Linked DNA regions of Xenopus tropicalis. The protein of the gene in region 2 interacts with the protein of the main gene of each other region in a pairwise test. Links are inferred from orthologs where the notes say so. Each region holds a gene or a part of one and is shown on either strand. Other genes may lie near its edges.

Region 1 (4,270 bases), on a different chromosome or scaffold from region 2:
ATACCCCTCTGTTATAGTTGAGATGTAGTGGTTGGCAATATACAGAGAGAAAATGAGGGAATTATTCCTTGGCCCCCTGCTTCTGTTTCTTAAAAAAAGGCTTTAGGTCTTTCAGTCAGGAGCAGACTCAGTTGAGTTGCTGACGGTTTCAGTCAGCAATTGTGCATTCCTGTCAGGCTGATGCCACACGAGGCATACGGCGGATATTATCAGAAAGCGTAAAAGCGCTTGCTGAAAATTCCGCCCTACGCCTCCTACATGTGCCTGCACCGGAATGAATGAGATACGCTCAGGTGCAGGCACATGTAACCGATATCCGTATAAAAACGCGAGATAATGCAAAGTCTTGCGTTTTCATGCGTATTTCGGCTATATGTGCCTGCACCCAAGCGTATCTCATTCATTCTGATGCAGGCACATGCAGGGGCAGGCCAAGCCGACCAGGCACCCAAGGCACCTCGCCCCTACACCTGCAATGACTCATCGCATCACACAGACCCTGCCCCCCCCAATTGGCACGCATGCGCAGTTCTAGGGGGGTGCGATGCAATGGGTAATTAGGGGGCGCCAGGCAGGAGCCTCTCCTGCCTACCCCTTGTCCTCCTCCTTTGTCATTGCCCCCTGCCGCCTGTCATTAGCCCCCTAACCGTTGCGCCCTAGGCAGCTGCCTCTTCTGCCTACCCCTAGTCCTCCTCCTTTGTCATTGCCCCCGCCGCCTGTCATTAGCCCCCTAATCGTTGCGCCCTAGGCAGCTGCCTCTCCTGCCTACCCCTAGTCCTCCTCCTTTGTCATTGCCCCCGCCGCCTGTCATTAGCCCCCTAATCGTTGCGCCCTAGGCAGCTGCCTCTCCTGCCTACCCCTAGTCCTCCTCCTTTGTCATTGCCCCCGCCGCCTGTCATTAGCCCCCTAATCGTTGCGCCCTAGGCAGCTGCCTCTCCTGCCTACCCCTAGTCCTCCTCCTTTGTCATTGCCCCTGCCGCCTGTCATTAGCCCCCTAATCGTTGCGCCCTAGGCAGCTGCCTCTTCTGCCTACCCCTAGTTCCAGCCCTGGGCACATGTAGGAGGCGTAGGGCGGAATTTTCAGCTAGCGCTTTTACGCTTGCCGAAAATATCCGCCCTACACCTCGCGTAGCATTAGCCTTAGGGGTGCACCGAATCCAGGATTCAGTTCAAGATTTTTTTTTTTGACAGGATTCAGATTCGGCCAAATCCATGCTCCAAATCCTAAAAATCACATGCTTTTTGTCACATAAACAGTAGTTGAAAATTTAACCCTACCGTGCCCTAATTAGCATTTGCGAATGAAAGTTAACCCTTCCGTAACCTAATTAGCATATACTAATTAGGATTTGGTTTGGTATTGGGCCGAATCCTTTATGAAGGAAGCCACGTTTAGCACCTGGCTGATATTTTACCGGCCCGTGTGTGATAGTTACTAATACACCTGTTTCTAATTGTTGGGTGGTATGCATTGATCCCACTGCTACGTCTGGGGTTAATTCAGTACCTGGAATACCTGGATATTTTCTTGTAAGATGGAGCCAGTGGCGTAAAACTAATAACCTGCGTGTATTGGGCACACGGGGCAGGGCAATCAGCCATCCTAGAATGAATCTGGGGAGTGGGCACTGGGCATGGGTAGTAATTCCAGGCTTGAAAGGGCTAAGATAAGGTATATTTTCAGATATATTCTGTTATTTTTCATATTTTTTTTCACTGCCCATATTGTGCTATTTTTGGGCTACTTTTGAAATGGCTTTTAGCTAGTTTTGTGACTGACTGGTTTTAAAAATAGACTGGTTTCGGAATTAAGATGGCAGTAGTTCTGATGGATGGAGAGATTTGCTCTTCTTTGTGTGAAGAGAAAAAACTGGGCACAGACCTCCAGTTTTTTTGGACTTCCATCCTGCCCTGCTCTTTTGCCCATAGGGGTGTTTTTACTGTATTACATGCAAAAGCTAGGGAGTGCCAATCAGAGCAAGACGCAGTGTTTTTGTTTACTTCCTGTCTATGACACACACAGCACTGCACTTAGCACCTTGCGCCAGATGCCTCAGGTACAGGTGCTCTGTGGATAGGGGTGTCATATGAGGCACAATTTGGCTTAGGGCTACACCACTTGCATCCGTGCGATTTGTAAATGAAGCCTGAAATGCAGTGCTGGTTGCGCCACAGTCTGTAGAGCCACAGACACTCACTATTTATTGGGCCTGTTTGGGCCTCTGTGTACATGAAACACCAGGGCCTAGTTTGAATCTCAGTCTTGACCTAATTGACAAAAGTTGGCCTACGTCAGACAGGGCAGGATGGGGCCATGAACAGAGCTTGGCTTGCAACACGCTAAGAAAGAACCTTCCTAACCTGGCGGTTTCTTTCTTAGCATGTATTTTACCGGCCTAGTCTGCAAAGATTATGCTTGATGCCAATGTTATTATTAGGAAAAATGAAAAAATATAGCAAAGCTGGTATGTTTTCCAAAAAAGCTGGCAACTTTAGTTTCAGGCCATTCTGTACATTAAGAGGTGGGCAAAGTTGTATATTGGTGGCCAATGGCGGCCTGAATCTGCATGCCAAGTCCTCTTGCCTGGACTGCACCACAAACCCCCACATCTGAATCTATACCTTTACCTCATGCTCCACACTGCCGCTCTCCACTTGTTCATTCCCATAAGTATTTGGTGTGGGACCCCCAAGAGACAGAAAGTGTCGAAATCATGGTATGCTATTAAATAAAAACTCAGAAAAGTGACTCACCTCCAAGGGGTTCTGTTAGCCCCTTGTATAAATTCAGCTTTTAAATTTAAAAGAAATTAACCCTTTAAGTGCCTGAAGACTGTAAATTTGGCTGCCCCGGTATAAAGGTACAAGCGTGCCACCACCAAGTATCTTACCTTTCCGCTTGGTACTGTGATGTACGATACAGTGCGTTTACTTGCGGCCAGGCTGCCAACCTCCCAAGGGAGGGTAACTGCTGTTACTGTTGGGAAGCGAGTGGTTAATGTACTGGCTGCAAAGCTCACGGGACTCTGATTCAGAGTAAAATTGGGAACTAAATAGCAGAAATATCATTACTTTCAGTTTCAGGTGTTAATAAATACAAATGCACTCCATTTAGAAACCAGTACTCCTCATTTTGGTAAAGTTTTTACAAGAAGTCCTCTGCGTTCACTTATTAAGTTCATTAAGCTACTAGGAAATGCCCTTCAACAAAACAGGGATTGTTTGTGCATATATTGCAATATATATAAGTTGGCCAACTATGTCAAAGGCATCCCCGGCCTGGCCAGCCCTACACTCACTGTCATTCATCTGATTCGTTAAGAATTCTACTCCTTCATTATACATTTTTCACAGGGACTAAGTCTTACTTGCAACTTGTTTGCTTTCAAGGTTATACCCCCCCCCCAAATGGTTGCCTTTTTATTGGCTCCACTGGGATCACCTGACTGTAGCTGGGAATGATGGGAGCTAGAACATGGAGCTGGCCCCTTCCCCTGTATAAACAATAGCAAAAAAGGGGATGTTGTGGCTGGTGATGTCACCGGAGCAGGGCTATGATGTGGCTATTGCCCAATAACCGTGTCAATCTCAGAGAGTCCTAACCACAAGAGGTACTCTGCACTCAATTATCAATAGATATAAAAAATGTCCCACTTTAAACAAAACAGGGATTGTTTGTACATATATTGCAATATATTAAAGCAGCTCCCATCATTCCCTGCTACATTCAAGTGATCCCAGTGGGGGCCAATAAAGAGGGCAACTATTTGGGGGTTTTAACCTTGAAAGCAAGCAGGTTGCAGGTAAAACTCCTGTGAAAATATATAATGTAGCAGTAGAATTCTTAATTAATCAGATGAAGTGAGTGCAGGCTTGCACCTTGGAGCCCATTGCTGTGGCCGTCTTTTGCAAATACAGGTATAGGACCCATTATCCAGAATGCTCGGGACCAAGGGTATTCCGGATAAGGGGTCTTTCCGTAATTTGGATCTCCATACCTTAAGTCTACTAAAAAATCAATAAAACATGAAATAAACCCAATAGGATTGTTTTTCATCCAAAAAGGATTAATTATACCTTAGTTGGGATCAAATACATGTACTGTTTTATTATTACAGAGAAAGGGGAATCATTTAACCATTAAATAAACCCAATAGGACTGTTCTGCCCCCAATAAGGGGTAATTATATCTTAGTTGGGATCAAGTACAGATACTGTTTTATTATTACAGAGAAAAGGGAATCATTTAACCATGAAATAAACCCAATAG
Region 2 (4,439 bases):
GGATCCGAATATTTTCTGAGCAGTAACCAGAGATCAGTTAGTTTCCCTGAAGCAAGTAAATAGGAATTACCTGCCCCCACAGACTGTATAGAGACAAATAGGGAGGGAGGGGAGTCAGACAGGTACATGGGGGGCAGGGGGTCTCTAGCACCTCTGGGCTGGGCTGAGGCGCAGTCACATGGGCGGAGTATTGGGGGGTGAGGGCTAAATAAGTGACCCCAGAAAGGAAAAGATTAATTCGGATATATGAATTCAGGCAACACTGTATCTCTCATTCCGTAACCAGCGGGGACAGGCAGAGAGCATTCTGGGTATCTGATCAACCCCACAGTCAATTACCCCCCCCCCCCCCCACCAAGACCGTGTATCCTATTCCTTACTATACACTATAGCCACACTATAACCACACTATAGCCATCACTGCTATTAACCCTTTCCTAGCTGGCGGGATTAGCTCGGCACCCAGCAGCAGAACACGAACTTTTAGAAGAAAACCAATACCAAGGGAAAGCTGGGCAGCTCCCATCGACTAAAGGTTTTTATCGGCTGATGAAGTCTATTCAGATTAATGCCATCTATTAGGAACACAGTACAATGTCCAGGGAGCTCAAGGCAAATGCCTTTATCGTCTCTTTCTCTGATTTGTGAGCTTCAGCCCCCCCTCCTTTCCATTTCGTTTCCGAATGATCCCAATAATGACTCTCTGTTCATGCATGAGAGCCCCTGCATCCTCCCCAGACTCACAGGGGCTGCCACACTGCCTTCCCTCTCTTTGTCTATGGCGATCCTGTCACCCACCTTCCCCCCTTTCTACAGAGTAGCCTAAATTGGCCTGGCAGAGCTGGGGGTGAATTTAACCCCCGCACACCCCAGCCTCCCTATTGCCAAGTACAATGGCATCCACTTAAATGTAATTTAGCCCCCAGTAGCTGTAATTACCAGCAAAATGATGGGTGATTATAGATTGTACAGAAAGAACATAAAACGAGCGAATTGCACAGACTGCGATTCAAAGCAGCAGCAAAATCCTTTCAGTCAGATGTCGGATTTATTTTTTTTGCGTTATATTTTCCTTTTGTGCCTTAAATAATTCTACCCTCCAAATATACCGATCCCCAGAGAGGAAAGGGGAAATTTCGTTTTTTTTATTGCATCCCCCCGTATTCTGCTAAACGAATACAAAATAGTGGTTTCCTACTTGTGGGTCGCAGATTAATTGGGTTGGTGTCCTGGTTGGTGTCGGACGATGAAGGGGAAGACGATGCCATCTCTCCAGTGACAATCCTTTTGGGCTAATGATTTCTCCTAATGTTCAGACTGGATAGGGAGATCCACCTCAAATAAAGAAGGGAAGTCATTGTTAAGACCAAGGAAGCACAGACTCAATAAATCCAACTTAAATGAAGATGCCAATGGCAAGTCTGGGTCCTGGTGGCAATGACCTAGATCCATAATCTGCTGCGAGCACTTGGCTAATAGTGGGAGAACATCCTAGGCCATCTCTGGCCATCAGGGATCCAAGGAGGCAAAAGTTGTTGGAAGTGACATTATTTTCAGGCTTTTTTGATTTTTGCCTAAGCGATGTGTCCTGTGTAGAAGGCTCAGCGGAGCATACGATCTCCAGTAATCATATTATGGGCACTGACTTGTGTCGGGGGGAATCGCACAGGGACTGGGGGATTGGTACAATAAATTATTTCAGCACAAAGGACACAGCGGGGTCTGTTAATACTGGCTTTATAGATATACCCTTTGTGTCCATTATGCCTTAACATTATTTGTGTGTGTTGGGCAGCACTGAAGGTAAGTAAGGGGTAAATACAGATATAAAAGGCTATTAGTGTCATAAAGCAGAAACATGTTAAACGTTTTTAAATGTGCATTTAAAAACACTAATGCAACAAAATTCTATCTATCATCTATCTATCTATCTATCATCTATCTATCTATCTATCTATCTATCTATCTATCAACTATCTAACTATCTATCTATCTATCTATCTATCTATCTATCATCTATCTATCTATCTATCTATCTATCATCTATCTATCTATCTATCTATCTATCATCTATCTATCTATCTATCTATCTATCTAATCTATGTATCTATCAATTTATAGACTCCGTCTCTATGTAATAATACAAAGACTTTGCTATATTGAATTTGTACGAACACGTCTCTAAAATAAACCTTCACTGATAAATTAGCCTTGTGCGTTTGTGTGCCTGATTGATAACTAAACAAACCTACAGAATGTGGTACATGGATCGAGTTAGTGGTGTCACCCTTCACAAGTTTTATGTTTCTTCCAATGAAATCAAATATTCATTAGAAATAAATTGATCGAGGAAGGGATAAGTGTGGTTTATGGGCACCGCTGGGAGCAAGGTGAGCTTTATATCTCCTTGAACTAGATGCCAGCGCTGTGAGCAAGGGATGGTGTAACAGGTTATGTGCTTACTTCTGCAAGAATTCCTACCCTCTGTATATCTGTATGTATGTATCTCTCTATCATCTATCTATCTATCATCTATCTATCTATCTATCTATCTATCTATCTATCATCAATATATCCTATTATCTATCTATTATCTATCTATCTATCATCATCTATTATCTAATCTGTCATATTTATATCTATATTTATTTCTGATATATATTTAAACTACCTATCTCTATCTATATGAGCAAATAATTAAATGAGCAGCTTACCTACTGCTGTACCTGGAGGTTCCCAAATCCAGAGCACTTAAGTCCAACTGGCTGGAGTCTGGACCTAGCAGCTTTGCTAGATAAACTCCTCTTTATAGAAATTCCAGAAAGGAAAGACGTTTGAATGTCAGTGGGGGCGCAGGAAGGAATTAGGGATGCCCCCGTCTCCTCCACAAGTGCTTGGATGTGCGATTTTGAAGGCAGGCAGGGAGGCAGTTGCTGTGTGTGCGCAGGCATGAGTCACTGACGCCTCCTCTAGTCCGCACCGTGTGTAGGGGGCACATCCCTTGCTGAGCTGCTCCCATGTCCAGCCACAGGCTAACGTGATTGCTCTGCACCCATTTGGAGGCAACACTGGGGCTATGCATTATACACCCAGCACCCACTTTTCCCATGGAAAAACACTCACCTATTATTCCCCCACTCATCAGCCCCCAGATTCCAATAGACAGACCCAGACGTGTGTGAGAGGTACAATTGTTATTCCCCTGGGTCCTGCTAAAGAGGTTCATAATCAGCATTTATTGTTATAAGACTACATGAAACAATATCGTCGTGATCGCCTAGAATGAATTAATTATCCTTGGCTGCCTTAAATCCCCCCTGACCTGCCCCCTTTATATTTACTTTTATTTTGCAATTTCATTACATTTTCTTCATGAATTTCTCAAAGTTTGTCTGCCTAAAGTGTAACCCATTTTTTTCCCTTTATTTAATCCGATTTACTGTTTCAGCACCTGCTAAAGGCATGCCCAGCATATACCGTCTCTTCAGGTTGTCCTTTTAATGTCATTAATTCCCACATATATTTTCATCTGGGTGATGGATGTTGTTTGTTTTGTCACCCAGTGGACACTAGAGGGCGTCGCAGTTCTAGCAAATAAATCTATTTCGCGAACAATGAGGCTTTTGCAATAAATCGTGCTTAACAATGTTTAGGCTCTGCACAGAGAACACCTATATTTCCATTTTCCCAGTGAAAGTGCAAAACAGGAAAATCTTATGATTTTATTTAAATCTTCATAGACTTATAGCTTGAAAATTATTTGCTAAAATAAAGCCATGTGTGCCTTAAAAGAAAAACACACACCGTTTATCTGAAATCGCAGGATTTTATTGACGTAATTGCCGGTAAAAGAGAAAGCGCCCGAACGCAGAGCGATTTCCAGGTTTCAGCACCATGGAGAGCGACGGACGCAGCCTGAAAAACACATTGGCAACTATGAGACTGGGCCTCCCTGTGTTGTTACACCTGATAATGCAGCACAGACATGTTTGTACTCAGTTCCCTGCTATTCTGTCTGTCCTGTCATCAACCAACCACCCAACCATCTCCTCTTCCCCCCTTCCCTCCCAATCTGTTTCCTATTCTCCCACTGCTTCCTACTCTTTCCCTCTTTCCACCTCTTCTGCCCCAACTCAGCCACTTTCTCCTGTTCAGCCTTTCCCTCCTATTACTTTATATAATTCCCTATTCATTATAACTTCTCTGTTCCTCTTAGCATTCCCTTTCCTGTTCCTTGGAATCCCTCTCTCATACTCTTCTCCCCTCCCAGCTCGGTACTTCTCCATACTATATTATTTTATTGATCTTTGTCCCTTCACGCCTGCTTCTCTTCCCCACACGTCTCTCCCTTGCATTCTCTAATCCTTCTCTTTCTCTCCCATTCACTCTTTCTTTTAATCACTCACCTATCTCTCTTTCCTGCCTCTCCCCTGCCCCAT

What was found.
Region 1: the proteins of gad1.1 (region 2) and haao interact in a two-hybrid assay, tested with the Homo sapiens proteins (4 studies listed by BioGRID and IntAct). The two-hybrid records come from large-scale screens. The link is inferred for Xenopus tropicalis from reciprocal best matches to the Homo sapiens genes GAD1 and HAAO.

Annotation. Positions count from the first base shown.
Region 1 is NC_030681.2:17,291,944-17,296,213, forward strand, and holds the start of haao (3-hydroxyanthranilate 3,4-dioxygenase), read right to left. Parts: upstream 2,974-4,270; 5' UTR 2,892-2,973; intron 1-2,891. UniProt on the Homo sapiens protein: Catalyzes the oxidative ring opening of 3-hydroxyanthranilate to 2-amino-3-carboxymuconate semialdehyde, which spontaneously cyclizes to quinolinate.
Region 2 is NC_030685.2:68,065,691-68,070,129, forward strand, and holds the start of gad1.1 (glutamate decarboxylase 1), read right to left. Parts: upstream 3,014-4,439; 5' UTR 2,727-3,013; exon of another isoform or gene 2,715-2,726; intron 1,336-2,714; 5' UTR 1,269-1,335; coding exon 1,199-1,268; intron 1-1,198.